Lonchura striata: one gene and its partners. The protein of the gene in region 1 interacts with the protein of each later gene in a pairwise test. Links are inferred from orthologs where the notes say so. Each region holds a gene or a part of one and is shown in the gene's direction. Other genes may lie near its edges.

Evidence for each region.
Region 2: the proteins of LMO2 (region 1) and TAL2 interact in a two-hybrid assay, tested with the Homo sapiens proteins (2 studies listed by BioGRID and IntAct). The link is inferred for Lonchura striata from reciprocal best matches to the Homo sapiens genes LMO2 and TAL2.
Region 3: the proteins of LMO2 (region 1) and heterogeneous nuclear ribonucleoprotein M interact in binary tests that used the Homo sapiens proteins (3 or more experiments, as listed by UniProt). The link is inferred for Lonchura striata from reciprocal best matches to the Homo sapiens genes LMO2 and HNRNPM.
Region 4: the proteins of LMO2 (region 1) and STAT1 interact in a two-hybrid assay, tested with the Homo sapiens proteins (2 studies listed by BioGRID and IntAct). The two-hybrid records come from large-scale screens. The link is inferred for Lonchura striata from reciprocal best matches to the Homo sapiens genes LMO2 and STAT1.

The regions. Positions count from the first base shown.
Region 1 is NC_134608.1:54,470,810-54,478,091, forward strand, and holds the start of LMO2 (rhombotin-2), read left to right. Parts: upstream 1-4,266; 5' UTR 4,267-4,273; coding exon 4,274-4,310; intron 4,311-4,549; exon of another isoform or gene 4,550-4,608; coding exon of another isoform or gene 4,609-4,615; intron 4,616-4,718; coding exon 4,719-4,896; intron 4,897-7,282. UniProt on the Homo sapiens protein: Acts with TAL1/SCL to regulate red blood cell development. Also acts with LDB1 to maintain erythroid precursors in an immature state.
Region 2 is NC_134642.1:81,251,854-81,259,193, forward strand, and holds the start of TAL2 (T-cell acute lymphocytic leukemia protein 2), read left to right. Parts: upstream 1-4,323; 5' UTR 4,324-4,435; intron 4,436-7,340.
Region 3 is NC_134630.1:6,569,069-6,576,411, forward strand, and holds the start of heterogeneous nuclear ribonucleoprotein M, read left to right. Parts: upstream 1-4,336; 5' UTR 4,337-4,589; intron 4,590-4,690; 5' UTR 4,691-4,706; coding exon 4,707-4,784; intron 4,785-5,615; coding exon 5,616-5,810; intron 5,811-6,127; coding exon 6,128-6,281; intron 6,282-7,201; coding exon 7,202-7,251; intron 7,252-7,343. Other genes in the region: heterogeneous nuclear ribonucleoprotein M-like, read left to right, coding at 3,773-3,837. UniProt on the Homo sapiens protein: Pre-mRNA binding protein in vivo, binds avidly to poly(G) and poly(U) RNA homopolymers in vitro. Involved in splicing.
Region 4 is NC_134610.1:30,434,740-30,442,684, forward strand, and holds the start of STAT1 (signal transducer and activator of transcription 1-alpha/beta), read left to right. Parts: upstream 1-4,937; 5' UTR 4,938-5,020; intron 5,021-5,209; 5' UTR 5,210-5,411; intron 5,412-7,419; 5' UTR 7,420-7,429; coding exon 7,430-7,557; intron 7,558-7,945. Other genes in the region: STAT4 (signal transducer and activator of transcription 4), read left to right, coding at 1,966-1,992. UniProt on the Homo sapiens protein: Signal transducer and transcription activator that mediates cellular responses to interferons (IFNs), cytokine KITLG/SCF and other cytokines and other growth factors.

The DNA.
Region 1 (7,282 bases):
CACCCTGAGTGTGGTTTTTATTGTTCTGGTTTGTTTTCTTCCAGTTCAAAGGAAGGGTTGAGCCCCAAAAAGAGAAGTGTGTCCTTGGTCAGAAGTCTGTAAGTTCTCTGAGTCACACTTCACCAAAAGCCTCCAAAGTATAATCAAGTCAGTCATGTGGTCATCACTCAGTGACAGCTCCTTATCCTCTCTATCCACCTCTGTCCTCAGGGAGGTTAGAAAATGTGTTAATTAGAAGAATGATGAGGAGGGATTTATATAAAAAAAAAAAACAACAAAATCAAAACAGCACTTGTGGAGAGCACACCGACTAGAACAGAACTTACTGGCTGAAACAAAATTTCCAGATTCATGAAAAGGGAATAATTTTTTTTTTTTTGTCTTTGAATTATGTGGTGCCCTTCATGCCATTAATATGACATTGTGGTGAAATGAGTAACTATTGATACTCATTATACTCATCATATATTGATAGCATTGGTTCTCCAGTGGCACAATCCCACCTCATTGGCAGCAGCTGGTTTATACAGAATCATGGAATCACAGAACAGTTTGGCTTGGAAGGGACCTTAGAGATCCCCCAGTTCCAGCCTCCAAATTCCTCCCCAAATATTCTGTGTTCTTTAAGAGAGATCAAGGTTCTCCTTCTGTGGTGTCAAATTTAGGCTCAAAAAACCCAAACCAACCCAAAATTCCATTACTTCAGAGCCTCATCTCAGGGGCTGGCAGGTCAAGGCTTCAGTCCAGTGTGTGGTGGGAAAGAGGAGGAGTCTTGCAAATAGGTGGATTGGAGTGGAGCAGTGATTCTATCACCAAATTGTGGCTCAGCAGCAGCAGACAGCCCAAATTACAGAAATCCTGATTCCTTTATGCCACCTTTCCTGTTAATTGTTCACCTTTAGTCATGGTCTTGACTTTTCCCTTCCACAGAAGCATTAACAGAAAATCTAGGCCACCATCACCAAGATTTAATTCTTCCATCTATGCAGAGACTTCAATCTTCATAAACTGCATTTTTAGGCAACCAGCATTACTGGCTATTGAGGGCAGCAAAGTTAATCTTACTGAATACAGACTTTTCTAAATGAGGGTGACCTGAAATAGCTCAATAGTATCCATAAGCTATAGAGGGGGATAAAGCTGGGATATACCAAAGGAATAAAGGTAGGAACAACCTGAGGATGAGTGGTGATGATATTTTGGCCTTCCAAAACCAAGCTGAAAATACTCCCTGAGTGCAAGAGAGGATGTTTCTTTGGAAACAGACACATTGAACTATTCCTTTAGATTACACCACTCACAGAAATGACGCAGCTTTACATTACATTCTTATTGAGAAACATCCAGAAAAGTCCAGCTGACTTACTCATGGCACATTTTTCCAAGCCCCAAATGCTAAATGTAGTCTCTAACAGCAGATTTGACCCCAGCCATGCTCCAATAATTAGTCTATAGCGTGATCTTTATTAATAAAAGTTAATTGAAACCAAAACTCATCCCTCGGGACTTCCAATCAATGAACACACATGCACACACAAAAAGCCACACTAAAGAGCACTGGAAAATGCAGCTTCACAAAGAAAGAAACAATGGAAAGAAAAGCCCTCACTAAAAATAGTGCTGGTCTTTTTGTGCCTGGGCAGGAAATGTCGGCACCACCAATTCCAGCACTGAATAACGCTTTGTCTTTGGGAACGTTATTCAGCAGGAGGCAAAAGTAAATCAACAGCCAATTCTGCTGAGGAAAGTAAACATTTGCAGATGGGAAAATTGAGGCAAAATGGTATTAAGGGACTTGCTCAAAGTGAAGAAAAAGAAGTCCTTCTTGATTGCTGGTCATCTGTTCTGCTGGGACAAAAAGTCCTCAGCTGGAAAGGCCAAATGTCACTGTCCAGAGCAAGAGCTTATTATATGTAAACCAAATAAATGAAAATGGAATTTTCCCAAAGAGGTGTATGGCTTTGTTCCTCAGATGTATTTGAAGACGCAGTTCTTGGTCAGCATTCTGAGGACCTTCTTGCTGAGCTTTTTGCTGCAAATCCAGCTTTTTCTTCACTTTCCTTTGCGTATGACTTTGCTTGGCATCTCTCTTTCACAGGATCGAGAAAAAACAAGAAATAATCTCAGTTTTAATTACAATTACTTTAGATGAGGAGACAGATGGTACTTGCAGGCCTATGGAGTGATCCCAGCACTATCACGAGTTCTGTGCTTAAAGATCTGACTTCATCTGGGAAAGTTTGTTCTTGATCTGACTGAAAAAGTCAAACACATACAAATTGTCCTCTTCAGCTTCAATATTGCACATTATTCCACTGTTTTTATGCAGAAAAGCTTTTCTGCAGTGAAGGGACTGATCTGGCAATGCAGAGAATGTTCCTGGTCTGTCCATCAGTGCACATGCTCAACTATGAATATGAGAAATATCTCATTATCTGGCAGACCTGAGGTGGTCTGAGCAAAGCAAGGAATTGTGAAACCTTAAAAATTATTTTTTCTCAATAATCGCTGGCCACCATGTATTGTAAATCCTCATTTTGATGTTGTTTTTCTAGGGAATTAAGTAATTCCTTATGTGCCAATGTTGATGCTTTTGTCCCTCACCAAAACTTTTGAACTCTTTTAGATACACAAAGGCATAGAGGTCTTAAATAAATTAATTTCCTGTGAATTTTGGGAAAATAAATAGAAGAGGGGCAGCAGGCCAGCACGTCTGCAGTGCGTGCACAACTTCTGAGCTCAGAACATTTACTGGCATTATGGAATTGCTCACATTATTCCACGAGCAGTTTATCAGAATATGAGTACCCCAATCATCAGGGAAATTTTGCATTCTATGTTTTAAGAGTTTATATTTTATTAAAACTTTAGACACTGGAGAAGCCAAGCTCATAGAAATGTCTTGGGGTTTTTTTAAACATGTTTGATGTCCTGCATGGTTTTGAGTTGCCTTTAATTAAATTTTTGGTTCTTTTTATAGCCAAGTGAAGTTTCTGGCAGAATTTTTTTTTTCTCATGAAGTCTTACAATAGTTTATCTATTCAGTCTTCTGGCAAGATTTACATTTATTTTACTTTGCTGATCACAGGGTAAACATGCAAGAAATTAAATAGTCATCATATAATTTAGTCCTGTCTGTGAAAACCTAACAAAAGAGCCTTTTCCTACAACAGAAATGAGACTGACTGTCCTGTTGTAATAGCTTGAAATGCATTGGAGATAATGCGTTTAAAGAATAAGAAAGATATGTTCTAGTAAGCAGTGATAGCTCTAAAGTATTTCAAGAGCTGGGTTCAAAGTCCCTTGAAAGAATAACAGTCTTTCTGCTGACATTACTAATATTTGGATCAGGCTCATTAATGTATTGCAGATATTATATCCCCAGCTGCCAAAAAGCGGGGAAAAAAAAGGAGAATGTAGTCATAAAAATAGACATAAAATACATTTTTCTTGTGGGAATTAATATAGAAGCGAAATATTGCTGCTACCACTACTCTCCGGGGCTTTATTACAGATATTTCTTTACTTTTTTAAAAGGAATTAACAGGGCAAGCTGTTCATCCCATCCAGAACTCTGCCTCCAGCAAGGGCCATCGTCTAATGCCACAGAGCCTGGCAAAGGCTCGGATTGCTGCAATAGTTTTCACTCCGGCGCTGTAAATCAGTCCTTTCCGGGATGTGCTGTGCTGATGGAGAGGAGCAAGGGTGGGAGGAAAAATAGAAATATCCAGGCAAGACTTTCCCCATCTTTGGCGTGTCTTGGATTAATTACAGATCGATACTTGGTATTCGCCGGCTTTCATAGCTCATTAGCATCACACGGTGCCCGGGTGTAAATTTGTTACAGAGCTTGCCAAGAATCCGGGGGTGTCTGGAAGCAAATGTTCACTCGGTCTGTAAATGAGACACAACTGAGCTGACCAGTTTGAACTCTGGGTGGACAAATCATGTTCGGGATCTTTACCTGTGGCTCTCCAAGAGCCCCGCGAACCCATGGGTGCGTGTGGGCATGTGCATGTTCGTGTCAGAGAGGGAGAGGACGAGGAGAGGGATGGCGAGTGCCGCTCCTGGGTGCAGCTGAGAAGGCGGCACAATCCGGAACCAGGCGCTTATTTTATTCCAGCTCTTGGGATCATTCTCAGGTCGCCCACCTGCCTGCGCACAGAGACAGCGTTAGTAAGGGAATAATAATAACGTGAGAACGCCCCGGCAGCCCCCAGCCCTGACTCTGGGGAGCCCCGCTCTGTCTCTTTAAGGAACCCAGCGAGTCGTGATGCTGCTGTTTGTATTGCCGAATCCCCAGGAGTGCAGTTAAGAAACGGGCAGCTGTCTCTTTAAGTGTGATTTCCTTCTATTGTATTTGAATCGTGATCAGGAAAAAGGAAATGAAACCAGAGAGCCGGGGCTGAGCCACGGAGTAATAATAATCCAGGGGATGCGGCTGCCGCCGCTCGCAGCGCTGCCGCCCGGGCGCGGAGCGTGTGCGGAGCTGCCCGCGCGGAGCCGCTGAGCGCCGGGCGCGGAGCCGCGGTGGCGGCCGCGGCCGCCGCCCCCCGCCCGCCGCGGGAGCGGCCCCGCCGGCCGGGGCGCGGGGGGAGCGCGGCGGGGATGGGAGGTCAGCGCCGGGGTGGGACGTGCGGGGCCGGGGTGGGGGGGGCTGTGCGGGGCCGGAGCGCAGCCCCAGCCCCTGTGTGTCTCTCTCTGTCTCGGTGCTGCAGGAGGAAATCCTGTGAATGTCATCGCGGGGCGGCGGGGCAGCGCGGCTGGCGACAAGGCTCCGCGAGCAGACAGCCTCTGCGGGGGCGGCGGGGGCAGAGCCCACCACCGGCACGCCACAAAGGAACCGGCCCTGCCAATGTCATCGGCCATCGAGAGGAAAAGCCTCGATCCTTCCGAGTAAGTGCGCGCTTCTTCTGCCCGGTCCCCCGCTCGCCATCGTCCCCGCTCGCCTCCCGGTGCCACCCGTCCTCCCCGACGGAGCCGCCGCCGGCATTGTGCGCCTGGCAGCCCCGGAGGGCTTCGGCGGCAGCCCCCGCAGCTCCGACCCCCTTCCCCTGCACAGGACACCGGGCTGCCCCGGCCCCGCAGGGCTGACGGCGTGGGGAAGCTTGCGGAGAGCCTCCCAAGTTGAGGGAAGAGCAGCCGGGAGAAGAGAGGCGCAATTCCCCCCGGGCAGGGCATCTCCCACTCCCTCATCCCACCGCGGAGTGGTGGGGATGCTCGGCGAGAGAGGGAGCGTCCCGCTTCCCAAGCTTTCAGGTTTTCCATCCCGAGGGGCCCTCTCTGCCCCATCCCCGATCTGCCCGAGTCGCTGCAGACGATCAGTGAAAGGTCAGGGCTGTTAGCTGCGGGTGCCCAACTTCCACGTTTTCGTAATGCAACTTCCAAAAGCTCGTAGAAAGCTTTGGTGGGGGCTGGGTGCATGCTAAGAGCATGTAGACAGACTTGATGGACGGGATGTAGGAGATGAGAATTTCCCTCTCTGGGCTTCCCACTCAGGGAAGGGACCGGCTTCCGTGTCCAGATCCAGGCTTTCTCCCGGGGGGTGCTCCCGCTGTCCCGTCCCTGCTGCACACCCAGGGATGGTAACTCGGCACAGACCCAGGGCCACTTCAGCCCTGAACGTGCTAATTTACTGCACTGAGGCTTGTCCGGGATCGCGGTAAGAGAGAAGAAAAAAGAAATAAATTATAAAATCTCCGTTTCTAGATAACGCTTAAAACATCGCTCTCAGTAAATTGAGTCATACGTGGTTTGTTTCCTGTCAGATACTAAAAATGCCATTGCTTGGAGCCCGGAACGAGCACATGGGAACCGCTGCTTTTGGGGATTACATCACTTCATTCCATGATGTTTTACATGTTACATTTTCTTTTATGCTGTTTTTTAAGAAACTCTAATCTCAGCTCCTAATGATGTCCAGCTTTCATCTACAAAGTTTTTTTTTTAATCCTTATTTATTTACCTGCCTTGTGTTCTGGTGGCTTAAGTGCTGGCTTAGAAATCCATGGACATCAAAAGCCTAATGAGTTAACCAGGAATGCTGTTCTGCATAAACATCCGTTGGGCTGTTCCTGAGCTTAGGGCTCTCAGTGAAACCTGGCTTGAGATTCCCAAACACCCCTCAGATGAAACATTTTGGGGTACACTTCAAAGTTTCAGATAACAGAAAATGAAGGATAATGATGTGTGCTTCCTTCTACTGGAAAGCTCTCAGAAGTTCTCAGCATGGAGCCCACGTGTTAGGAAAGGGAGTATGTGGCCCAAAAGAATAAATTTGGGAAAAAATAGGGCCTAATAATGAGTTCCCCATGATTTTAATGAAAACTCACAGGATGGTGAGCTGGCAGGAGAGAGGTGTTACGACATAGCTTGCAGGGCACAGCAGTTTAAACTTAGAAGGGAGAAACCAGACAGAATAGAACCAGATAATATCTCAGAGCTCAGCTTGCCTAAATAAAACTCCAGGATCACTTTCTCAGCCGAGAAGTTTTTGACCAGAGGTCGTTTCTCCCTGCTGAAGAAAGTAATTTTTGCCCAGAAAACTGCTGATCCAGTAAATAAGCAGGAGTAATACAATTTTTTTCCTGTTGCCTGCTGGAAACAGGGAGCAGAGCTTCTTCATCAGTGTAGGTCTCCTCTGCCCCCAGCAGCCCACAGGAGGACAGACAAATGACAGAAGCAAATTGCTCAGGGACTCTGTGCTGGAGCACTAATCCAATAATATGAAAAAATTTGGGGTCCACTCTACTAGCTAAAGGTTTGAAATTAAGCAAATGCTTAAGGGATGGATCCAGTAGATTTTTTAAATTTACTTTTCTGGCATTTGGGTGAAGCCCAAAACAATACAAAACTGAGTTCAGGCACTGTTCTTTTAATTTTTTTTGCTGTTGTGAAATTACCCCAAAAGACACAGAAGTCTTTAAGAAAGTGGCTTTGAAGAAAATTCTCACTTCTTTAACCAGAATTATCCTAGATCTCCAAGCTTTTTAGAAAAAGGAACAAAATAAGGTGCATAAAGAGTCAGTGCTAATATCACAATAAAGATTTGTGTCTTCTTTCACTCATGGATGTGTAAATCCCAGATAATTGAAGTATGTTGGCACAGACCCATCCCAGGGGATTCATGTCCTTGGCTAAGGGAAAAAAGAAGTCCTGCAGCAACATGAGGTAAAATGCTGGCTTTATTAAAATCAGCAGCGAGACTTAAACCAGTTGGGCAACAGAATCAGCTGTTGTGTTTATTAATTTCGTGCTGTTCTGAGAAGTGACACTGACAAAC
Region 2 (7,340 bases), on another chromosome or scaffold:
AGGTTGAGGGTTTTGCCTGCAGTCATACTGGAAATTAAAGCTTTTGGTCTTCTGACAACTTTTTGTCATTAATTGTAAGTTTGTTGTAGAAGTGCACCTATGGCAAAGACCCTTTGGGGCTTTCAGTCTGTTCAGAAAGGTTTTCTTAAATTCAACTCCACATTTCTTTGAATCCCTGTTTTGAGTGATGCTGATGTGGTTGCCTTATTGATGCATGCAACCTGGCTGTGCTTCACATTGTGTGCTCCTGAAAGTAGCAGCTGCTTATCCTTTCAGATGCCTTACTTGTTTTCCTCTATTTTAGGTGATTTCCAATAACTTTGAATGTCGAGGTGCATCTGTGTCAAGTGGAAAATGAGCTGTTTGTCTTTCTCCTTGCTCCCAGTGAAAAGGTTTAGAGGCACATTAGGTTTTCAGTCTCTTTATTCTGTGGCTAAACATTTTCTTCAATGCTATCAGCAAGTTTCAGCATTAAAAAGGAGGAGATTTTTGGCTTCTGGAATTAAGCCAGAAAGTGTGGCCAGAATTTAAAGCACCCCCTGATGTGTTTTGTTAACACTAATAAGAGATTCAAAATGCTACGATAAAGCTTTAGATGATACAAGTTTAATATTTCAGCAGTCTTCATGCAGCTGCTATTCTGAGCCTCAAGCAGCCTCCTCCAGCTCAATATACTCAAAATCTATTAATCTAAATTATGATTTTAAAGGGCAGGAGCCCAGATGTGCATAATTGTTTCTTATTGTTCCAATGTGTGCAGCAGGGCTCTGAAGTCACAGTGATAACACAGCTGTGGGTTTGCAGCCTCTCACTGTCCTTTTCCTGCCTGTCACTCTGTGTGTGCTGCTTTCATCAGGCTCACCTGGGTCAATTCACAAAACAGAAAAAATTACTCAAATCCAGGCCCATCCTTTGAAATCTCTGCTTGTATTTAGGCAGGATTCTCTTCCATATCCCAGTCACTTGCAAGTCAGAGTTTTGCTAGAGAAATACAGAGTTTGAGGTCTGGCCCAGTGGGAGCCATAAACACTTGTTTGCCCAGCCTCTCTTGGAGAGGCTTCTCTTGGATCTGGAAGTTGTGCAGCAGGATAAAACCTTTTACTCCTGCTGGCATATCACACAGTTCCCTACACCAGAAACAGCTTTTCTTCCTTTTAGGAAGAGGAACAATGAGGGTTACGCCCCTAGTTTGTTTCAGGGGCTGGAATTTTAATCCTGGCAAGCCAGAGTTCAAAAAGTTTTGAGATGTTCACACTTTGCAGCCACCCACATGTTCTTGACCTCTTCAAAGTGGCCAACTCTCAAGTGTCCCCCTTCACAGAGTCACACGTGGAAATGCAGTTCATAAGACAAGTGTTCAGTCTGCTGCTGCATCCAGGTCAAACAGTTCCTGTGGTGCAGAGGTGAGTGGCTGAAGTGACCTGCTAATAACGCACCTTACAAAATCTGTTTGGTATCCCCTTCAATTTTCATGAACTTGTAATGGGTGGCTGCTGAAAACCAGACTTGTTGCAGATAGAGAATTGCCCCAGACTCCAGGGAAGTTGTTAGGATGTGTCCCAGCAGAGATTTTTGTGAGGAGGAGCAAATCCAGGGTGTGATGTTGCTTCCACAGTGCTTGTTCCTGGCTGAGTTATACTATCCTGGTCTGTGGAAAAGACCACATGGTCTGGATTGTAATGTGTTCCCCCTGCTGCCAGGTCACTGACAAGTATAGAGAGGAAGATGAATAAGACTGGTGTGGTTCATGGGTGCCAAGTAATCACAGCTCAATAGGAAACTTAATAAAGACACAGTGAAGCAGTCCCTGATGTATGACCCCTTCAGAGCATTTTGACAGCATGAAAAAGACCCTTGATGCTGGTGTAAATATCAGCAACCCTGTGCCATCTCATCAGCACTGCCCAGTGCTGGCTCAGCACCTGGGACCTCCTGCCCAGTGCCTGGCAGTGAGTTCTGGTGTAACCCAGCAGTGCAGGACAAAGTTCTGTCATGTCTGCACCCTCTCCTGTGTGAATACATGAGTGGAGATGAAAAGCAGTCCATCCTACCCATGTCCCTGCAAGGAAAGAAGCTTTCCTGGTTGTGTATTTTGTAGTGCTTTGTCTGGACAGGTTTAGAAAGCTCCAGGCAGTGAAGTATCGAAGCAGTTAGGGATCAGGGGCTTCAGTTCCCTTCCCTTTCTGGACCCACAAGCCCTTTCCCTGCTGCTGCCCACTGGCTGGAGCATCTCAGGGCAGGTTTTGGGAACATAATAGGTTGGAGGAAGTAACAGAGAGGAGGGGCACTCTCCAACTCTCCAGTGTAAATTACATGGAAATTAGGCTTCTGTGAGGCCAAGGGCCCCTCCGGAATAGGGCCTTTAGTTAACATAACACTTGTGCTAAATGAAGCGGTTGACACAGCTTTCAGGCTGTAGTGCCACTGTTAATTTACCGTGTGAAAGGGCTGAACCTTCCTTCGAGTTCTGCAGGGAACAGCTCTGCCCTGGCAGGGACCCGAGGCTCATTCTCTACAGAGAGCGACTGCATCATTCCACTGCTGGCTTATTAATATTTATGGGCTGTCCTGTTAGCTGAAACATTCTCAGTGCTGATAAAAACCCAGCAGGTGAGCACTGCTGAGCCATCTTTCTGTTTGGGGTGAGCTGGTCTGGGTAATAGCTGAGCTTTCCTGGGACCTGGCAGAGGGAAGTGGTGGAGTGTTTATCCTGGGTGCAGAAGTTTTCCTGCCCCATGAAAGTGGGGTGATGAGCTGGGACTTCTTCTTCCCCCCCATTTGTTCTCCCCAGGATATTTCCTGCTGCTCCAGGGAATAAGCAGGCACCTTGCTCTTGTTCTCCCCATTTGCTCATCCAAATGTTCATCCAAAGCAAACTCCTAGCACTTAATTGAAAAGTGGATGGAGGAGCAGAAAGGACTGGACAGGTCCCAAAGGGTCTGTATGACTGTAGTAAGGCTAGACGGTCTGTGCCAGGGTCAACTTTATGACTATTTTCATAGAAACAAAGACTGGTTTGGGTTGGAAGGAAAATTTAAAGGCCACCTAGTCCAACCACCCTGAGCTGAGCAATATCTTCAATTAGATTAGGTTGCTCAGTGCCCCATCCAAAGTGGCCTTGAGTGTTTCCAGGAGTGGGGCACCCCCCACCTCTCTGGGCAACCTGTTCCAGTGTTTGACCTATAAATGAGTGGTTACCCAGGGCAAGGGTGAGGATGGATGGACCAGACCCTGTCATGGACACAGACACATGATTAGAATGGGGTTATTCTGCAGGTTTTGGGTTTTGCACTCAGATGTCACCTTGTTGCCTGTTGTCCTGGCTCAGAGAGGAAGCTCTGGGGACACCCCAGGAGAAAGGAGTCTGTGTTTCACTGACCCTACATCATAGCCACAAGGGTATGGAGCTGACTCATCTTTGCTGTGAAAGCATGAGTTAAACCTTCAGTGCACTGCCTGGGCCCTGGAATGAAGGGCAGGCTGGAAAAGGTGTGAATTCACACAGCTCCTGCTCTCACACAGAGTGAGGCAGAGTGGCACCAGGGCTTGGGGCAGCACTGGGACAGCAGCAGCTGTCACGGTCCTCTGGCTGCAGGAGGTGCCAGCTGTGACTCCAAGTGAGAGGGATCTTCCACTAAAAAAGGAAGGGCAGGATCCAGTTGCCTGCATATGTTCACCCCCCAGATACACCTCACATTCTGTCAGAGCAGAGCAGGACCTTCCTCCTGCTTGGGAGTGCAATAAATACCCCCAGTCTGTTCCTCAGTTCCGAGCGATGCTAAGGGGGGCTTTTGAAAGAGCCATCTCCATTTCTGGAAACACTGACAATGCCAGAGCTGGATAAATAAGTAAAATTAAACAAACCAAACCAAACCAAACCAAGACAAAATAAAAACAAAACAAAACAAACAACCCAAAACCCAAACAAACAACAAAAACCAACCAACCAACCAAGCAAACAAAAACCACAAAAAAACACAAAAAACCCCAAAAACCCTACTTCCCAAACAGCAGCGGAAAAAGAGGGGAGAATTAGACTATTGCTAATGCTGGTTCCATCCTTTCCTGCAAAATTCTAGCCAGAGTCACTGAGATAAGTGACTAAAGCTGGTAAGGATGGCTCCAGCTACCACCCCAGCCCCAGAAAAAGGCAGGGGGCATGTGGTGAGCAGAGAAAAGGCAAGACAGAGAGAGGATCTCCTGGGAGATGCAAAACATGCTCCCTGGATTGCCAGGACTAGTGGTGACACGCGCCAGACAAAGGAACTGCTTCTCTATAAATGAGGCAGCCGGACCAGCTCTAGGCTGATTCCAGCAGGAGCAAGCTCCGTGGCCAGGCGCTGGAAAAGCATTCGGGAGAGAATCACAGGAAGCGCCTGATTTTGCTGCCTGTTCGCCCCCTGACCAGGTTCCCAGAGGCACAAGTACCAGAAAAGTAAGTGACAGTGGCCTCCTCTCTTTACAGCTGTACTCCCCTCTTTTGGGCTTATCTTGCAACTTCCTTAGGAAAGCCAAAATTTCCCCTCAAAGCTGGGTATATTCTAAAAGGAAGGGATTTCAGCAGTGGCCTTTCACCAGTTCTCTGGATTTTCATTTCTTATTGTGGCACCTCTGGTTCTTATCATAAAAAAATTAAGAATAAGGCATCTCATCTGACAAACAGCCACTTAGAGGGAGCTGCACTTCATCAAGTGAAGAGGCAGTTTGTACCTGAGCTTTCCAAATTTCTAGTCCCCACAGAGACTCAGTGAATCAGACCTTACCAGAAGAAAATATTGATTGCTTTCACTGCTTTTGAGAGAAATGTTGGTGGTGAGATGTGGAGGAAACAAAAGTGATTTTATAATCACTTTTCTTAACTATTCCTATATTTTCTTACTGCTGCAAATCAGAGTTATTGCACTGGTGCAAAATAATTAGACAGAGAGTCACAGATCCCTGAGTTTAGAAATAAAACTTAAGTGAATTCTACAATGCTGTTTGAAATTTAAAACAAATTCCTTGCAAAAGCACAATTAATCATGTCCTAATTATTCACTAGACTGTGTGAAAATTCACTGACAGTGTCAACAGGTAAAAGTGTAAGGAATAAATTTTAAATTCCAATCCTCACATATTTAAAAATATCCCCATAGTTTACTGGTCGTCTGTGTTACAGCTGATGCAGATGTAAAATATATAGTAATTTGAATTTTCTGCAGTTCAACAGTGCACTTAGGAGGAAAAGATTAGCATTTTTTTTTAATTTCACTTATCTTGTTAAATATTAGTAACTCTCAGATTTGTGAAAAAAACTTTTGAAACTGCCAATATAAAACATCTTTCTATTTCCAGGGGTAGCCTTCTGCATAAAACTATTTTTTGAGAAAGTTAATTAACAGCAAAACATGCATGTTTTTTGAAGTAGCTGTCTCTATCCTTCTTGATTTCCTTGTAACACTACAGGACAATATTTCATTTTCAGAATCTTTTTCCACCACACATTTCTAATTATTTCACACAGATAAAAAAAAAAAAAAAAAAAAAAAAAAGGGAAAAAACAAGCCAAACAAACAACCAACCACAAACCTAACAAATCAGAAAAAAAACCCTTAAAATAAATGCAGTTTGTTTTTACTGCCTGTTTACCTAAATCTTTACGGTAGTTGTGATATGAGCAGGTGATCCAAGAAATGAAGTTCTCACGGAGGCAGCATGCCAGGCAGGAAATTTGTGGACTAAACAGAGGTGGCTGAGGCAGGGATGATCTTTGAGCTGCTGTTTCTCTCAGGAGCAGCCCCACAGAAGTTAAGACATCCGGGGCAAATGGGGTTGTGTTCCTTGTCTTGCAGTGGTTTGTGTCTCACTTTTGGCAGCTGCATTTTGCCATGGTGGCCACGTTCCTCTGTGCTCAGGGTGACCTCTGGTATTAGGCACAGCTGGCACTGGTGTGAGCTGAGGTGGTCAGCAGCCTGGTGGGAGCTTTGGCAGGAAGACACGGCTCGGCACTGGATGCTGTCAGACCTCCAGTCTTGCTTTGGCTGCAGTCACAGACAGATTTGCCACCAGCCTCAGAGCAGACCCAGAGAGAATGCAAAAGCAAATATTGGCTGGGGGGACCATGTCCAAATCTAATATCTATGTTCCCCCTGATGTAAATGTCCTTTGCATTGGCTGGATTTTCCCTTTTCTACTCCCAACAACTTCTCTAACAGTGTGAGCTGCTGCAGACTGCTCTCTGCAGAGCTGTAAGACATGTAGCATCTGGTCCCACTCTTCACTTACATCCTTCTTCCAGGATGTGGACTTCCCTACATACACAGGCAGGGCAAATTTTTTCTGCTATTCACAGCTGCCCTCCTGCCTCCTTGTGCCAGAGAGAGGGTGGCAGAAATAAATCCTGCAATGAGATGGGAGAAATACAAGGTTGCACACTGGGTCTGGGGCAGGGGAAAGAAAAAGAGACCTGAAGAACAGAACCAAACTGTTTTTCTTCTCTGTGTTTACCTTAAAGCACGGGGAGGGTGTCTCTATGTGGTATTTGGGCTGTTAATTTGGCAGAGACTGTTCTTAAATGAAACCTACTGGAACTGTCATTCAGGCCAGTGAAGCATTTTCCAAGAGAGACTCTCATATTCTCTGGAACAGAAAATAACACAAGTGCAACTTCAGCAAATAAAGGCTAAACCTTCTGGCAGAGTGTTCCTTTCTCAGCTTAGCAAGCTGTTATGCCCCTGCCAATGCACTGGAACTCCATTTAGCAAAAGCTGTTGCAGCCCATGAGTGGGTTTATTTTTTTTGTGGTGTAATTCATCTTTCTGCAAAGAGCCATAAAAAGTATTGAGCAGAAGAGAGCTAGATGAAAAAAATCCAACAAAAAAAACCACCAAACCCCCAAAAAAGATCATTCCCATGTGCAGAGTAAACCTTTTCTTGAGCTACATCTCTATCACTATTGTCAAGGTCTTGACCATATACTTTAGTGCTCTCCCAGACGCCATCTGGGTGGCAGCCCATTCATTGCTTTGCAGATCTTCCTTTCCCAAGGCAGGCCTAGAGGGCATGATGATACATTTTGCATGCTGTGAAGTCTTATTTTCTCAGAAAGCAGAGAGCTCTTGGCTGCTGAAGACCTGAACCCTTCAGGAGGGCAACTGGATTTCAAAGCTCAGCAACCCAGGAGCAGTACTGTCAGGTGAAAGACCTGCTCCTTGGGACAGGCATCGTGTGTAGTGCAGTAACCCCAAACATGAAGAATGACTTAGTCCTGAGACCTTCACACAGCTGCCTTTGAAGACTCCAGTGATTTCCTTTCTCTAAAGGTTCAGTGAGAGCACAAGTGTGACTGTGAGAGCTTCTGT
Region 3 (7,343 bases), on another chromosome or scaffold:
GCAGTTCCAAGCCCCAGGAAAACTCCGACCCGTTGGAATGCTTGCTTCGGAAGCGTAAGAACGCCAGGCCAAACGTCCCAGGCTCTGGGAGCAGGTGGAATTCTTGCCCAAGGGGAAACCCTGGGTGTGTGAGGGCTCTGCAGGGCTGGGCCCCGTGCAGAAGGGGCTGTAGCAGCAGCAGGAGCTCGGGGAGGTGCCGTGTGTGCAGCAGCTGCTGCTGTTCTGCAGCCTGGGAGCGGCCAGGCTGCTCCAGGTGCCACCTCTCTCTCTCTCCTCACGCCGTGGCTCGGGCATCCCAGTGGATTGGTTGGAGAAACTCAATTACAGGTATGCAGTGGGAATGTTGGTAATGGAATGAAGAGATGTTCTTGTTTGGAACTCCCTCGTTTTGCTGGCAGACACAAGGTGTTAGCTCACTGCAGAGTCCCCAGGATTTGGTCACAGTGTGGAGTTCTGGGGAGTCAGGGAGGGAGGGATGGGGAAGGAATGTGCTGTCCTGCCCTTGGCCTGTTCCCCCTTCCGTTTGCTGAAGTCTCTGATGAGTTGCTCTGTTTCCCTTGGGCATTCACCATCTTTCCAAGGAATCTCAGCCCTTCCCTGGCTGCAGGGAGCTTTTCACTCCCTCTGCTGCCTGAGCTCTTTAAGAGCCTAAATCACCACTTTGGGTGTTCTCTTGCAAAAGGGAAGTTTCCTTTCCCCATCTGTGACAGAACTGCTGACTGCTGTCTCTGCTTTGGGAAGGTTTTCCTTCTGCCTTTTCAGCCAAAGCTTTGCATGTGTAAAACTTGCTCCTCTTCTCTCCCCTCTTAACTTTTCAGGGGTTGCCTGTCCCAAGCTTTTACCTGTAAATGAGGGAAGAACTGTGGCCAGCTCTGCTTTGCCTCACACTGCGAGTGTGAAGCTTTTTAATCTTCTTGGATCACTTGTTCTTCAGAAGATGAGGAGACATCCAGCCACTTTGGGGTTTTCCTTCCATATTTAGTATTTACTTTTGGCCCTGGAGGCCAAGGAATAACTGCTACAGAGCATTTCCCTTGTCCCAGTTCTGTGCTTGCTCCCCCTTCCCTCTCTGCATCTTTCACACCTCTCAGAGCTCTTTGGTTTGTCACAAACTGTTAAAATCAAATTGCCCAACCTAAAGTTGTTATTTCTGTCTGAGCTTGTTCTGGGGAGTTCCCAGATGTGTCTTCAGGGCCTCAGGTCACCCTGTGAATACTGATCTGAGCTTCCTGTTCAGACCCTGCAGAGTATTGGAATTCTGCTGGAGCAGCCCAGCTTGAACATTGACATTTTCTGTACTGATAAACTTTGGGAAGTGATACAAAGTTTTAAAGAGGATTAAAAATAATGACTGTTATAAATAACACTGAAGCTTCCTTCAGTTTGGATTTCTGGTTATTGCAGTAAATTCTGCTCCAGTCTCTTGGTTTGGGAAAAGCTGCATTTTCAAACTTTAGGTGTGAGGTTTCAATAAATCCATAAATCAGTTTCCTCTACATTAAGTCTTAAAGACACCATGGGGAATGTGTTGATTAATTAAACCTGCAGTGACTAGGAGCCAGTGTTTTTTGGACATTTCCTCCCTTAGGAAACTCCTGAAGTAACAGTTTTTGTGCTTGGATGAAGTTTCTCCACTTGTGGCCATGGGATGTTCCCTGACAGAATCCAGCTGTTCTCTGGCAGAAGGGAATCTTGCCAGGATCACTGGGCATTTATCCTGGTCTAGCACATGGATATCTGCTCCTGGTACTTTTCCATGGCATCCTGTGGTTTGGGATCTAGAAAAAAACTCCAAAACTCCAAATAAAATGTGATCCAGCCTAGCTTCTTAAAAAAATATTTCCTTTGCCAGTCACAGACGATGTTCTCCTGGCAGAAGGGTTGGGTTGGCTCCTTTTACACAGTTTAAGGTGAAATGAATGCATTTTCATGGCAGTGTTTCTGGGCTCTGTCTTGGCTCAGAGCTGTTGCACTGAGTGTGTCATTCCCCTCTCCTGCTGTTCTGAAACCGGGCTCTTCAGGAAGTTCAGATCTCCTTTAAAGCATAGCAGCTACTTCAGGCTGGATATTTGGATTTTCATGTGTCTGTAAGGCTCCAGCAGAAAGCTCTGAGCAAAATTGGCACAGACTCAACTTCCCAAGAGATTCCTGGAGATCTTGTGGTTCAGAGTCGGGGATTGGTTACAAGAGCAGATGCTCAATTGTACTGGATATCCTCAAGCTTGGCAAGCTCCTTTGGGAGCTGTTTGTGAGGAGCTGTAGGTGAAGTGGCTGGGAGAGGAGAGCCCTCGCTCCGGGGGCTCTGCAGCTTCAGGGAATGCCAGACCTGGAAGCTTTGGCTCGGAGAGGTTTTGGAGTGGAGCTCACCTGGGAAGAACTGGTGAATCTGTTTGCATCCCTGCCCCAGGTGTGCTTGGACTCTGGCTGCTGCTGTTTGAGCTGGATGGCGTCAGAACCTCATGGCAGCGCTGAATCCCCCCCGGGACTCCTTGGGAACAATCCCATGTGTGCTGCAGGAGCTCAAAGGGATTACAGGCTGGAATTCCTTGTTAGGCTTGATACCAACATGGATGGAGCTGCTGGAGCTGTGGATGATAATGGACACTCCAGTGGAGTCCCTTTCAGAGGGACTTGGCAGCCTTTTCCAGCCTCAAACATTATCCTTCCAAAAGCAGGAGTGGATCAGAGCTGTTCATCCTGTTCTCTGGCTGGAATACTCTTACTGCTAAAGTATTGTTTAAAATAAGAAATGGAGATTACAAATCAGTGGTTTTGTTAAGCATTCCTTTTTTTTTTCCAGCTTCAAGAGAGCTCCAGGGTGTCAGTTTTCCACAGTGATACCCAGTGTCCTGTAAATTGCTGGGCCTGGGGGAGGTCAGGCTGGACACCTCCCTCTGTCCCTGGCAGAATATTATGAAGCCCCACTTCCTTGCTCCAGTTAAACTATTCATACTCAACTGGCTCATGGTTTCCCACAAATAAAACATTCCACTGTCCAGATAATGCAGCTTGGTGTCCTCCTAGTTTAAATTTAAACCCTAGGACTTGTAAAACCAAAAAGGAAAAATAAAAAGGGAAAAAAAAAGGTGTTGATTCCATTCTTCTGTATGCCAGTCCCTTCAAAGGCAGCAGCCATTTGGGTAGTGGTTTTCTGGAAGTCCCTGCCAGGGTTATTTGGTCCTAGAGAGGCAGTCCCAATCCTGTGAGGAAAGGGGCAGGTGGAGTTTTCCATTGTCTTTTGCCTTTTGCTGTTGACAATTTTGACTTGAGAGCAAATGTAGCAGATTTTAATGCTAAAATAGAATTTATTGTAACTTAACAAAAACATGTTAAAATAAATAGCAGGCAGTGATCTCTTGATCTGTTGGTTCAGTGTGATTCCTTTTTTGTCTTAAATCCTGAGAAAAAAAAGTTACTTGAAATTGTGGATTATGGAGCCAGGGCTGCATCCTGTGGCAACTGAAGGAAACTTGTTCCTGCAGCCTTTCCCATGGGTTTGGATTGCCTCAGGTAACGAGTGGGCACTGGAGATCCAGGGAACTGTGGAAATCTCTGGCTTTGAGGTGGAGGAAAACCAAGAACATATCGAAGTGCTTGAAGCCTTTACTGCATACCTGTAATTGTCCAGTTTTGTGGTCTAGAGAACATGGAGTGTTTCTGGGCTTTCTTATAAGGCAGAGGCTCCATACACGGTTGTTGATTGTTCTAAATTCCCATTGTTTTCTTGGCTTTTCTCCCTTGGTATCTGTGTCGTCTGGAATCTGATTTGTAGTTGGTGAGGTAACATACGTGGAGCTCTTAATGGACGCTGAAGGAAAGTCAAGGGTAAGTGTTTGAGAGTTTCTTTGTGGATTTTCTACCTGAAATGTTTCTGTGTGCTGGACAGAAGGCCAGGGAGGCTCAGAGTGTGGATGTGCAGTGGCTCTAGGTCAGGAGTGCTGTGGGATGGGAGGAGGTGGGGTGGGCTCTGCAATCAGGAGCTGTTCCCTGCGTGCCGTTGGCGTTGGCCGTGTGACCCTGGAGCCCAGCAGGCAGGACAGGGCTCTGGAATATTCCTGTGCTTTGGAAAAGTCACTCGAGTGGTTGGCTGAGTTTGGAAGGGCCAGGGTGCAACAGCAGGTGCTGCAAACTCCACGTCCTGGGCCAGCAGAGCGAGATAAATTCCTAAATGTAAATGTTCAGTGCCTTCATGGGCCTTGAGTCCAGGATCAGGGAAGACAATAGGAGCACTCCTAAGTGTCCTGAAGGATATGGATTTAGGGTGAGAGTGTGGAGGGTTTTGCTGTATGCCAGGGAAGAGCAGGTCACAGGAAGCGTGTGGTATTTCTTGGAGAGTCGGGATTTAGTGTTTGTTACAACCTCAGAGACCCCAGGTTAATCCTGTTAAGGCATAAGAAATTATGGAATTCCACTATTGGAGGCTTGCCTGTGTAAGGTTACATTTATTTTTGCTGCTAGGGCTTAACTGATGTGATTTGGCTTTAATAATAAAATATCTGTGTGTGATTTGAGCTATCACTGACTTTCTTTTTTCCCCTCTTCCCTCCTCCATGTGACTGCCCTGGGAAATCATCTCACCAGGGATGCGCGTAAGTTCACTCTGAATTTTTCAAGTTCAATCTGATTTCATCAGGAATCTGAGGAGACTTCTTCAAACAAAACGTCCTGAGCTGTGTTTGTGTCCCCACAGGGTGGTTGAGTTCAAGATGGAGGAGAGCATGAAAAAGGCTGCTGAAGTTCTGAACAAGCACAGTCTTGGTGGGAGACCCCTGAAAGTAAAAGAAGTAAGGAGGGGATCTGTTCTGGCAGGGATAGAGGGGGAAGCAGGAGTTCCTGTTTAAGGTTTAGGGCTGACTCAGAGGATAATGGGCAGAAAGCAGGACTTAAATAGGATAAAAAAACCCAGTCAACCTTTTTCTGATAGTTTTAACCACTGCTGGACTTGTGATTATCAAGACTAAACTTGATGTGAGGACAAAGCAGGAGTTTGGCTTTAATTGCAGTTCCTTTGTTAATGATTTGACACAGAAACCTCTGTTTGTTCTTTACAAACTTCCCTTTGAATTCTGCATCAGAATGAATGGATTCCGCCAACAATTCCATAGAATCAGCTCTTTCCTGGAATCCATCAAAGATGTATTTCCATTTTAGTGGCCTTGCTGTTGACAGACAGTCCTGGGAGTTCATTCCAAGACCTCTCCAGTGGCACTGGGGGTTTATTAGGGTTTGGAACAGTGTAACAGAGGTTTGTTGTTGGTATTAATGATGGATAAACAACTTGGTAACCAGGGAAATGCCTGGAGAGGAATAACTTATTATTAAAGGGTATCAATAATAAAGGTATCATTTAAATGATAGTGTGCTGGGTGTTGGCTAAAATAACATAAATTGACTGACAATGAAAGGGAAGCAGTTGGCTGGGAGTGCTTAGGGAGCAGATGCCCTGGGATAAAGGGAAACTCCTGTCTGTGCCTGTGGGAGCCCTGGCACTGCCCGTGGTGGATGTGGGATCTGATCTGAGGGTGTGTGTGTGTCCCCCAGGACCCCGACGGGGAGCATGTGGTGGATGTGGGTGGATGTGGGATCTGATCTGAGGGTGTGTGTGTGTCCCCCAGGACCCCGACGGGGAGCACGCCAGGAGGGCCATGCAGAAGGTGATGGCAGCAGGAGGGATGGGCATCGGGCCCGGCCCTGGCGGCCCTGGCATGATCAACATCCCCCCCAGCATCCTGAACAACCCCAATATCCCCAACGAGATCATCCACGCCCTGCAGGCCGGCCGCCTCGGCAGCACCGTCTTCGTGGCCAACGTGAGTGCTGGGCACCCCCTGCTGCAAATCCAGCAGTGGGAACCTCTCAGCTGGGGCAAATCTCAGGAAGGAAAAGCCTTGGGAATTCGGGAAAAGCTCCTCTGTGTCCTGTTGATTCTCTGTGCAAAGGAGGTTCTCAGTTAAGTTGTACCACAGTGCCTGTTAATGGGGATTTTTGAACAAAACTTCGTATTTTGGTTGAATTTTATCTCGGCTCTCTGACAACTTTAATGCCAATACCAGAGGAGGACAGGAGCCAACTAAAGCTGTTTTCTCATGAAAATCTCATGCATTTCCAACAATGCCCTGTTTTCCAGCTGGACTACAAGGTGGGCTGGAAGAAGCTGAAGGAGGTGTTCAGCATGGCTGGGGTGGTGGTCCGGGCCGACATTCTGGAGGACAAGGACGGCAAGAGCCGGGGCATCGGCACTGTCACCTTCGAGCAGGCCATCGAGGCCGTGCAGGCCATCTGTATCCTTGGCAGCAAACTGGGAATAATGGGGCAGAGAGCCCAGGAAACGCAGCAGGGCAGAGTGGGAACTGTATTCCAAAGGAGGATATTGTATCCAGGGCAGGGGAGGTCAAGTTGTAGCAGATGGAAAATGGAAGGAAAAGCAAAACAGAGGCAAAATTCCATCTTGAAGGAATTGTTGCAGTTTGCTCAGGATCCTTAGCAAAGGAAATTCTCTTTCCTACGTGGATAAATGTACTTCAATCCGAGATGAGTTTCTGTCTCTAGGTTGCAATTAATATTAAAATGCAATTCTCTGAAAAGGAAAAAGTCCCTGTGCCAAGGCACACGGAATTGGTATTTTCCTGTTCCTGTTTCCTTCCACTGGCCAAGCAATGATTTGCCACCTAGAAACCCAACAGCAATAAAATTCCAGGTATTACTCTCTCAACTCCTGGTTATGGTATGGAAAGGAGGAAAATAAACCCTCTTCCTTTCCCAAAGTTTCTATTTGTTAATTCCCTTCTGCACTGCATCCACAAAACCTTGTGGGAGCAGAGTTGGGCAGAAGATTCACTGTCATGGCACACTTCAGAATATGGTGTTGCTGTGGAGCTTTTCTCTGTTTTGTCCTGTCTTCAATGGATAAAATGACTGAGGAAGCATTTAAACACTTGGGCTGACTTAGAGTTATGGTTTGTATCTCTTTCTGAACTTAATCTTACCCAGAAATATGTTTTTTATCTTTTTTTTTTTATTTTAAAAAGCCTTTTTTTTAATGTTCAGTATTTTTAGATTTCAAGGCATTTTAGTTTTGGAGAAGGCAGAAGGATTTGGGATAATCTGTGAGTAATAACTGAGGAGATGGATTTTCTGAGGGGTTTTTGTGCTCCCTGTGAGAGCACTCAGTGCTTGAAGAATGATCCTTAACGACCCCCAGCGATGTTCAATGGGCAGCTGCTCTTTGACAGACCCATGCACGTCAAAATGGTGAGGACACTCCCATTCCCCATTCCCACTGACCTGGGAATGCACTGCTGATTTGGGGAGAATTTGTGGTTTCAAGGATGGATCAAAACTCA
Region 4 (7,945 bases), on another chromosome or scaffold:
CTATGGTGCACATATTTTCTATTAGAAACGGTACACGACGCTGCAAGCATCTTGAAAGCACTGGAATTGCCTGACACGCTGGCCAATGAATCATGAATGTCAGAACACAAAGATCCCAGAGTTCTTGCACAAATTAAGGCTTTACATTGGCAAATACATGCCACGTATACTAATTCTCTGGACAGCACAAAGGCCTGGACGTGCTCAGGGGAGCTGCCCAAGGAATAGTATAATTTCCAATTCAGCAAACTTGCACAACTTTTTCACACTGCAAGGTTTTACGTGGGGTTTCAAAGTGCAAAATTAAAAGTCAGCTAAAACACTTTCAGCAAAGAAAACTAGTATTAGCTTAGTATATAGAAAGGTTAGGAAAATAACATCATGTTTTTTAAAAAAATCCCTCTTTTCCTTACTCACTCGAAATGACGTTCTGAATCATCATGGCTCAGAGTCCTTAGAGCAATGATATATAGCCAGGTGGGAATTTGTACAGACTTTTCTCAGGAAACACAGCAGTGGTTTGACTCTAGCAGGTTTAGAATAAAATTTCCTTTTTTAATACTAGCCCACCATCCTTATATTACCTTGAAGTGATTATATATTTAAAAGCTTGCCAACTTCCCTTCAAATGCCTCTCTGTAAACACTTCTCCTTACCCACAAACAGAACAAAACTAAACCAGAATCCTGTTTGTGATTAGAAGAACAGTTAAACTTTATATACAAATAGATGAGGTAATACATTAACCTGAAAATCCACTCAAGAGCAAGATATCTTTTTTATTCTTCACTTATTTCTATGATAGCACTTGTGATAAACTAGCTCTTTAGCTGAAAATGAAATAACCAGCCTGAATTAAAATTCTGAATTAAAACCTACCCCACCCAATCCAAGAGATGTACTCTCTTATTTCTGTTTTGGTTTATAACATGTGGAAATGGTTCTGGCCTCCTCAAGTGCACTTAGGAACAATGCACACATTTGCTTTCCTGAATTTTCGTCAGAGTAAAGAATAAATGGATTCACTTTCAGTTAACATCAACCTCCAAACATTTTTGGTTTCTTCTTGCATGCACAGTAAATCTCAGATTAGCTCCATTCAGAGCTTCAAAATAAGCTGTGACGATGGCCATCATTCAGGGTCATAACCTGACAAAATGAATGTGCCTAGTTGCAAACTGAAAGTGTTAAATACAATTTTAAAGGTACCAAGATGAATGGTTCAACGCTGCTAGATGGCAAGTGGTATTTCTGTAGGCTCTTACTAGAAATGTTTTCAAGTTCTGCTAGAAGTTGCATGAGAAAAAATAGTTTTAGAAGATTTTTAAAGAATTCTTTCCTTTTCAATTCAATTGACCTTGCTAAATGGAAATGAAGGAAATATGGAGGTTTTTTCTTTATCAAATTCACAAAACAATCTACCCTGCTGAAGAGCTGGCTTAGTATAGCAAGAAGACAATCTGCACTATTAATGCAATACTTTTTCTTCGTGAAATGCCAATAAAAAAGCATTGTGTGAGATACAGAAAACAAGAGTTAAATCTGCAGCAGGACAAAATATCCTGCAATTGACTCAGTCTTAGCAAGATATACTTTCTGCAGCCTTGCTGAATTCCCTTCTATTCCCTCCACCCTGTCCAGCTTCCATTACCCATCCAAAAAAAACAAGACTCCAGGAAGAACCCTGACATACATATCCACAGGCTTCAAGAACCACAAAAGTTTATACAAAAATAAATACCATGCTTATTATTATTGCAATAGTTTTCTACACAGTATCTTCTAAAGAGCATTCTTCTATTTTCTAAACAACTAGAATCAGGATTTCAGATCCTTATCAGTTTTTATGACATTGTCAAAGTGACTTTGCAGTTACCTAGAGCCAGAGAAAGTTTCATTTGCAGTTTCTTTTGAATGAATAGCTGTGAGTGCCATGAGACTAATTCTGTCCTTCTTTTCTTCTAGCTGAGTTCTCCTTACTCAACTGACTGAAGCGCACATACTAGAAAAATCAGTAATTGTGGGAACATTGGATGGGTTAAAGAAGTCATAATCCTGTCACCTCTGAAAGTCAGCTTTTCTGGAAACCATGATGTTATTCTTAGGCCTCTTTCTATTATCAATAACACATAAACAATGAATTTTCTCCCTAGGGAATACAAACAGCCTTTTGCAAGTCACATTTGGTGTTGTCATTGAAAAAAGACCAAATCCTTTCTGGCTTGGGAGTCATTTGACTTCAGTGGGGTCCCAGCAGAGATAACTTTTACTTGCTAATTTAACTAATTTCCATAGAATTGCTGTAAATACGAATGCATAAGAACAAAATGTTTTGCTTCTGAAGACAGTATATAAAGATAACTAAAGACATTAATGTGTTTGGAGAAATTAGGATCTATTATATTAAATACTTTCTGCTTATGCATAATCTTATACACCACTGATTTAGATACTATTTCAAAGTAAAGATTTTTGTTCCCTGACTTTGAATGTTCCAGAGGTATCTGGGGTTTGCTTTACTTCAAAGATGAATTGCCTTCAAGATAGATTTTTATCTGATACCACAGCAGAAGTTGTGGAAAGCAGGTAGGGAAGGCTGGGGAGAGAAGGGAGTTCCAGAAAGGAAGCAGATATAAAACTTGTGGTGTTAGAAATGCTGTCTCCATTTCTCCACTGGAAAAGAGAGTAAGTAAAACTTCCCCTCTCACAAAATAGTTGCAAAAGCAAATCTGTTTGGGCAGGAGATACTCCAGCAAAAATTGTTAGAAAGTCTACAAATAGAAGATCCTGATCTGACACAGTTTGGATGCTAATCAGTCAATGGCAACAGGGAAGCAGTTTTAAAAAACAGTTACTGAAGAGCTGCAGCATTTGCTGACCACCTGGAAATTTGTGCTCCGTGACAGGATATTACAGGCCCGTCACAGCCTCACTTAATAAGCAGGACAACTAGTTTCTGTAAAAATAGTAAATTGCCCTCTTTAAATACTCCGTTTTTTTCTTTCAGGTGTGTTTACTGCTCAGTTTGGGTTGTTTGGTTTTGTTGTTTTAGTTTTATTTCCCCCAGAGTTACCCCTAAAATCGCTGTTCATAGAATAACAAACTGGCAACTCCAAGGCCACTGTATTTCACAAATCCATGTACAATCAGGATGCAAGCCTTGCCTGAAGAACACATGAGTAATGCATGCAAAGTTCTTAAAACACAAAACTTGAACAATTGCACCTTGCTGCTTTCTCAAGCAGGTATAAATGAGACTTCTGTGATGAAAACTCCTTGAATCGGTAAGACATAGATTTACTTTCATTTCTTCTTTCATCCATGCTATTTACTTTAGTTGAGAGTGAGTGAGCGGAAACAAAGTAATGAGGTATTTTTGTGATGCACAGAAGTAGATTTCAAAGAAACAAACGCATCTCTGTTCATTACACTGAGTGATTCAAAGCAAGCTGCACGTAAGTTCAGTAAGCATCACGTATAAAATAAAACACAAGAGCAATTCTGTATATAGCTTGGTAGTATCTGTAACTTATATAACCAGCATGAACAAAATCAGATTTTGGCTTCAAGTTGCATCCGGACCTCTGCGGATTTTTTTTCAAGGCACAGCAAAAACAGTCTTGCTGCCTTTTGGTTGACCTTAAACTGAGCTACAGACAGTAACACATAATTCTAAAGCAGGAAACATGACCTCCCCTAACATCAGCTGTTGCGTGCCTTTTCATTCTAACCTCTTCCCATAATCTTAATACAAACAAAACGGGGGATACCTTTTAGTTTTGACCATCTGAAGTTCATGAGAAGCACTGTAAGACAAGATCAGACATGGCGTGCAAACCAGTCTCCTTTTTCTTTCTTTCCTGTTCTCTATGCAAGGCAACCCTCCAAAACTCTCAAGTATTAACTTCAGCCCAACATAACTGGTGTTTCTGAACAGCATCATGGATCAGATTTTGGCATGACAGCTCCTGCTATTGCTTCAGATCAGATTGCTGCATAGGGTCAACTTAACATTTTGTTGAAAAGATCCGCCTTGAGATCATTTCACTGCTTTAAAGGAACACTGGAATAATTTATCTGTAGGATGAATACATACAGACCAAGCCTCCTTCCTTTTAAAAAAGTGAGAATTTTGTCCTTATGCCATGATGAGTAAGAATACAGCTCTCCAGTGAAACGATGGTGTGGAGGAAAATCACAAAAAAGGGATGCCTAGATACTACCACCAAAAAAAAAAAATTTGCTTTTAAGTAGTTCTACTAACTGTCCTTTTGCTGTGTTTTGCGGCAACAAAGTAAAAATGTAATTGTTTTAGGCTTTGTCTTGGTGTGACGCTGTAATGATCCTAATTAAAAAACATGAAACCTGTCAGTTACTTTCTTCCATTGCTTTTATTCATAGCCATTTTTATAGATCTACTGCTGCCTAGTATTTCACACCACGAAGCTTACCAAACAGATCTACTATTTTTGTCATGAAGTAATAACACCTGGCTCCTCCATCTGAGGAGGGAAGGGGCACAGACTACCCTGGAGAGCTGCAGCAAAGCCTGGCCTTCAGCATCCGCTCTTTGCCGGCTTCCAACACCAGAAAAAACCCAAAAAGGCTACGCTGGACCAACAGACAACGACATGAATGGACACTATTCCTGCGAGCAGGGCTTGGGGTGGGATGGGAACAGCGCTCAGCCTCCTGCAGTTTGTCGGCGCTGGGGCGGGCAGGGCGGGAGGGAAGCGGCGGCTCCCTGAGGGCAGCTGGGGCGGGCGGGAAGCGGCGGCTCCGTGAGGGCAGCTGGGGCGGGCAGGAAGCGGCGGCTCTGTGAGGGCAGCAGCAGCAGCAGCAGCCGCCCCGCCCCGCCGCCCTCAGGGCCCCGCACTAGTTTCGCTTTCGCCTTCGCCGCCTTTCCCAGAAGTCACGTGACGTGCCCGCCGCCCGGGAACGCCCCCGGCCCGCCCCCGCGCATGCGCGCGCGGCTCCCTGAGCGCAGCCGGCGCCGCGGCAGCGCCGAGCCGGAGCCGAGGTGAGGGGAGCGGGCGTGAGGGACCCGGGCGTGAGGGGCCGGGGGATGGCGGGGGGAATGCCCGGTGAAACGAAAGCTTGTCGCTTCCTCAGACTGCCCCTGCCCGCGGGACGCCCACCGAGTTTTGCGCTTTGGTGTACTTGCCCTGGGGAAAGAGAGGTGTCTGCTAGCCGTCTTCATTCCTGACAGGGACGCTCCGGCTGCTCTGTCGTCTGTCGCATCCGCTCTCAAGCCTGGCTCTTTGCTCGCTCTCCGCAGCTCACCCTCTCCGACGCGTCTGCAGAGCTGCCCGGAGCGCTGGAAGCGGGCCCGTGTGCCCAGCACGGCGCTGATCCCGCTGATCCCGGTGATCCCGCTCCTCCGGCGCCGCGGGGCAGCCGCCGCGGAACAGGTGCGCTGCTCCCTCCCGGGGAACGCGGGCACCGGGCCGGCCCCCGGCCATGGCAGGCGAGGAGGTAGAGGAGGGCCAGGAGGGAGTCCTGGGCTGCATCGGGCGGCCAGCAGGTCGAGAGGGGTGATCAGCCGCCTCTGCTCTGCCCTAGTGAGGCACATCTGGAGTGCTGTGCCCAGGTCTGGGCTCCTCGGTACAAAAAACACGAGGAGCGACTGGAGAGGGTCCAGCAGAGGTCACACAGATGATGAGGGATGTGGAGCACTCTCTTACAAGGGGAGCTGGAGCTGGAACAGTTTAGTCTGGAGTAGAGAGACTGAGAGGGGATCTCATCATTACATATAAATAACTCAAAGGCAGGTGCCAAGAAGATGGTGACAAACTCTTTTCATTGGTGCCCACTGACAGGATGAGGAGCAGTGGACATGAACACAAGTTCCACCACGACATGAGGAAGAACTTTACACTGAGGGTGGCAGAGCACTGGAGCAGGTTGCCCAGGGAGGTCATGGACCTCCCTCTTTGGGACTGCTATAGCACACTCAAATGCTGTGTTAGCTGTAATCTGAAAAGCACACAAATCAAAAGCCTCAAAGCCCTCACTTTAAACATAGCATTTTTAATTCCTTTGCTTCTCACACCTAGCACATGCCACTCAGCAGCTGAGGGCACTGGCATATAAAAACAAAAGGATTTGGTAGGAAGGGGCATAGAAGACAGTCCTTCATCCTGATGCTGCCTGTTCTTTTGGATGGGTCTTATAAGCAGTCATTAAAAAACAAAGATGTGAGTGGATTTGCATCTCATCACCCATATTCTCAGCCTGGGCTGTTCCTTGGCATATCTTTACATGCCATTTCCACTACAAGCTGATAACCTGCAGCTTAGAAGGCTAAGTGATCTGCCTCTAGAGACCATACGTCAGAGCTGAAGCCACTCTCACAAAAGTGTTAGGACTGAGAGAAGCCGTTCTGCACAGTCTTAGTTCATTTAAGCACCCTCTATCTGCTGCACAGGTTGCTTGAATTTAGCCTGAAAATATTATCATGAGAACTCAAATGCCGAAAAAAATATCTTTCCAGTACTTCTCCATTTAAGGTAACTTGAGATGTAGTCCATTTTCAGAGCAGGCAAGTGTGGACACGAATAGCAACTGAAAATGGGCACTTAGAGGGCTCTTTAATTGTACACTCACACTTTTGGTGCTGGGGAATGCATCTGCACAAGCAAAAGGTGATACTCCGTGATCAGGATCTCAATTATGCAGAGTACAGGTATCAAACACAGAGGTCCTCATTCCCATATGTGCTAAACAAGAGAGCAGTAACACTAGCAGTACCATAAACGCCATGAAAATGGGTTCAGAGGAAAAGGAAAAAAAAGGAAGCACCACACAGCTACTCACTTCCCCTCCTCCCTGCATGGTGGGATGGGGAGAGAATCAGAAAGGTGAGGCACTTCATGGGCTGAGATAAAGATAGTTTAACAGGTAAAGGCAAAAGCCATGTACACAGGAAAGCCAAAGGGAGGAGTTCAGCCATCTCAGGAAAGCCAGGCTCCATCATGCCTAACAGTGGCTTGGGGAGACAAGCACCATCATGTAACATATCCCCTGTGCCTCCTTCTCCTTCCCCCAGCTCTATGAGCTCGATGCCACCTGGTCTGGAATGTCCCTTGGGTCAGCTGGGGTCAGCTGTCCAGCTGTGTCCCCTCCCAGCTCCTTGTGCACCCCCAGCCTCCTCACAGGTGGGGTGGGGTGAGGAGCAGAAAGGGCCTTGATGCTGTGTAAGCCCTGCTCAGCTGTAACAAAAACATCCCTGTCTTACCAGCACTGCTTCCTGCACAAATCCAAAACAGCCCCATGCTACCTACTGTGAACAAGATAAACTTTATCCCAGCCAAAATCAGCACATCCTCCAATTTTGTCAATGTTCATTAAAACTTAAAATTAGTTATTTTTCACCAGTTCAGTCTGAATACTACTTAAACACTGACTTTTTTTTCACAGCTTCCTCAGAATGTCTCAGTGGTATCAACTACAGCAGCTGGATTCCAAGTTTTTGGAGCAAGTTCACCAGCTGTATGATGACAGCTTTCCTATGGAGATCAGGCAGTACCTGGCACAGTGGCTGGAAAACCAGGATTGGTAAGCCAAGGAATTAAATTAGGCTTTGGGTTGTGTGATAAGCAGTGCCCTCAGAAGTGCAGTTTCAGGCAGCAGCAGTATGCTGGGGAAGCAAGCTGCTAGGTGATCCTTTGCTGGTAGGATGCTTCAGTAGCTGTGTGGGTGCTCTGTGTTCCTGCTCCTTTTAGGACTTTCTAGAGGGGCCTGACACCTGGAGTTAGTGTCCTTGCTCATAATGCTCTCAGTGGTCCAGAACAAAAGTGGCTGTTTTAAGACCAATTAGTTACTAACCTTGGTAGCATCAGTCTCTCACTCCCCAAAGACTCCGAACTTCTGCCAGGCTTTCTGTGGAGTGTCTTCTCTTTGAGGAGTGGTACAACATGCATATGCATCAGGGTCACTTTGAGGT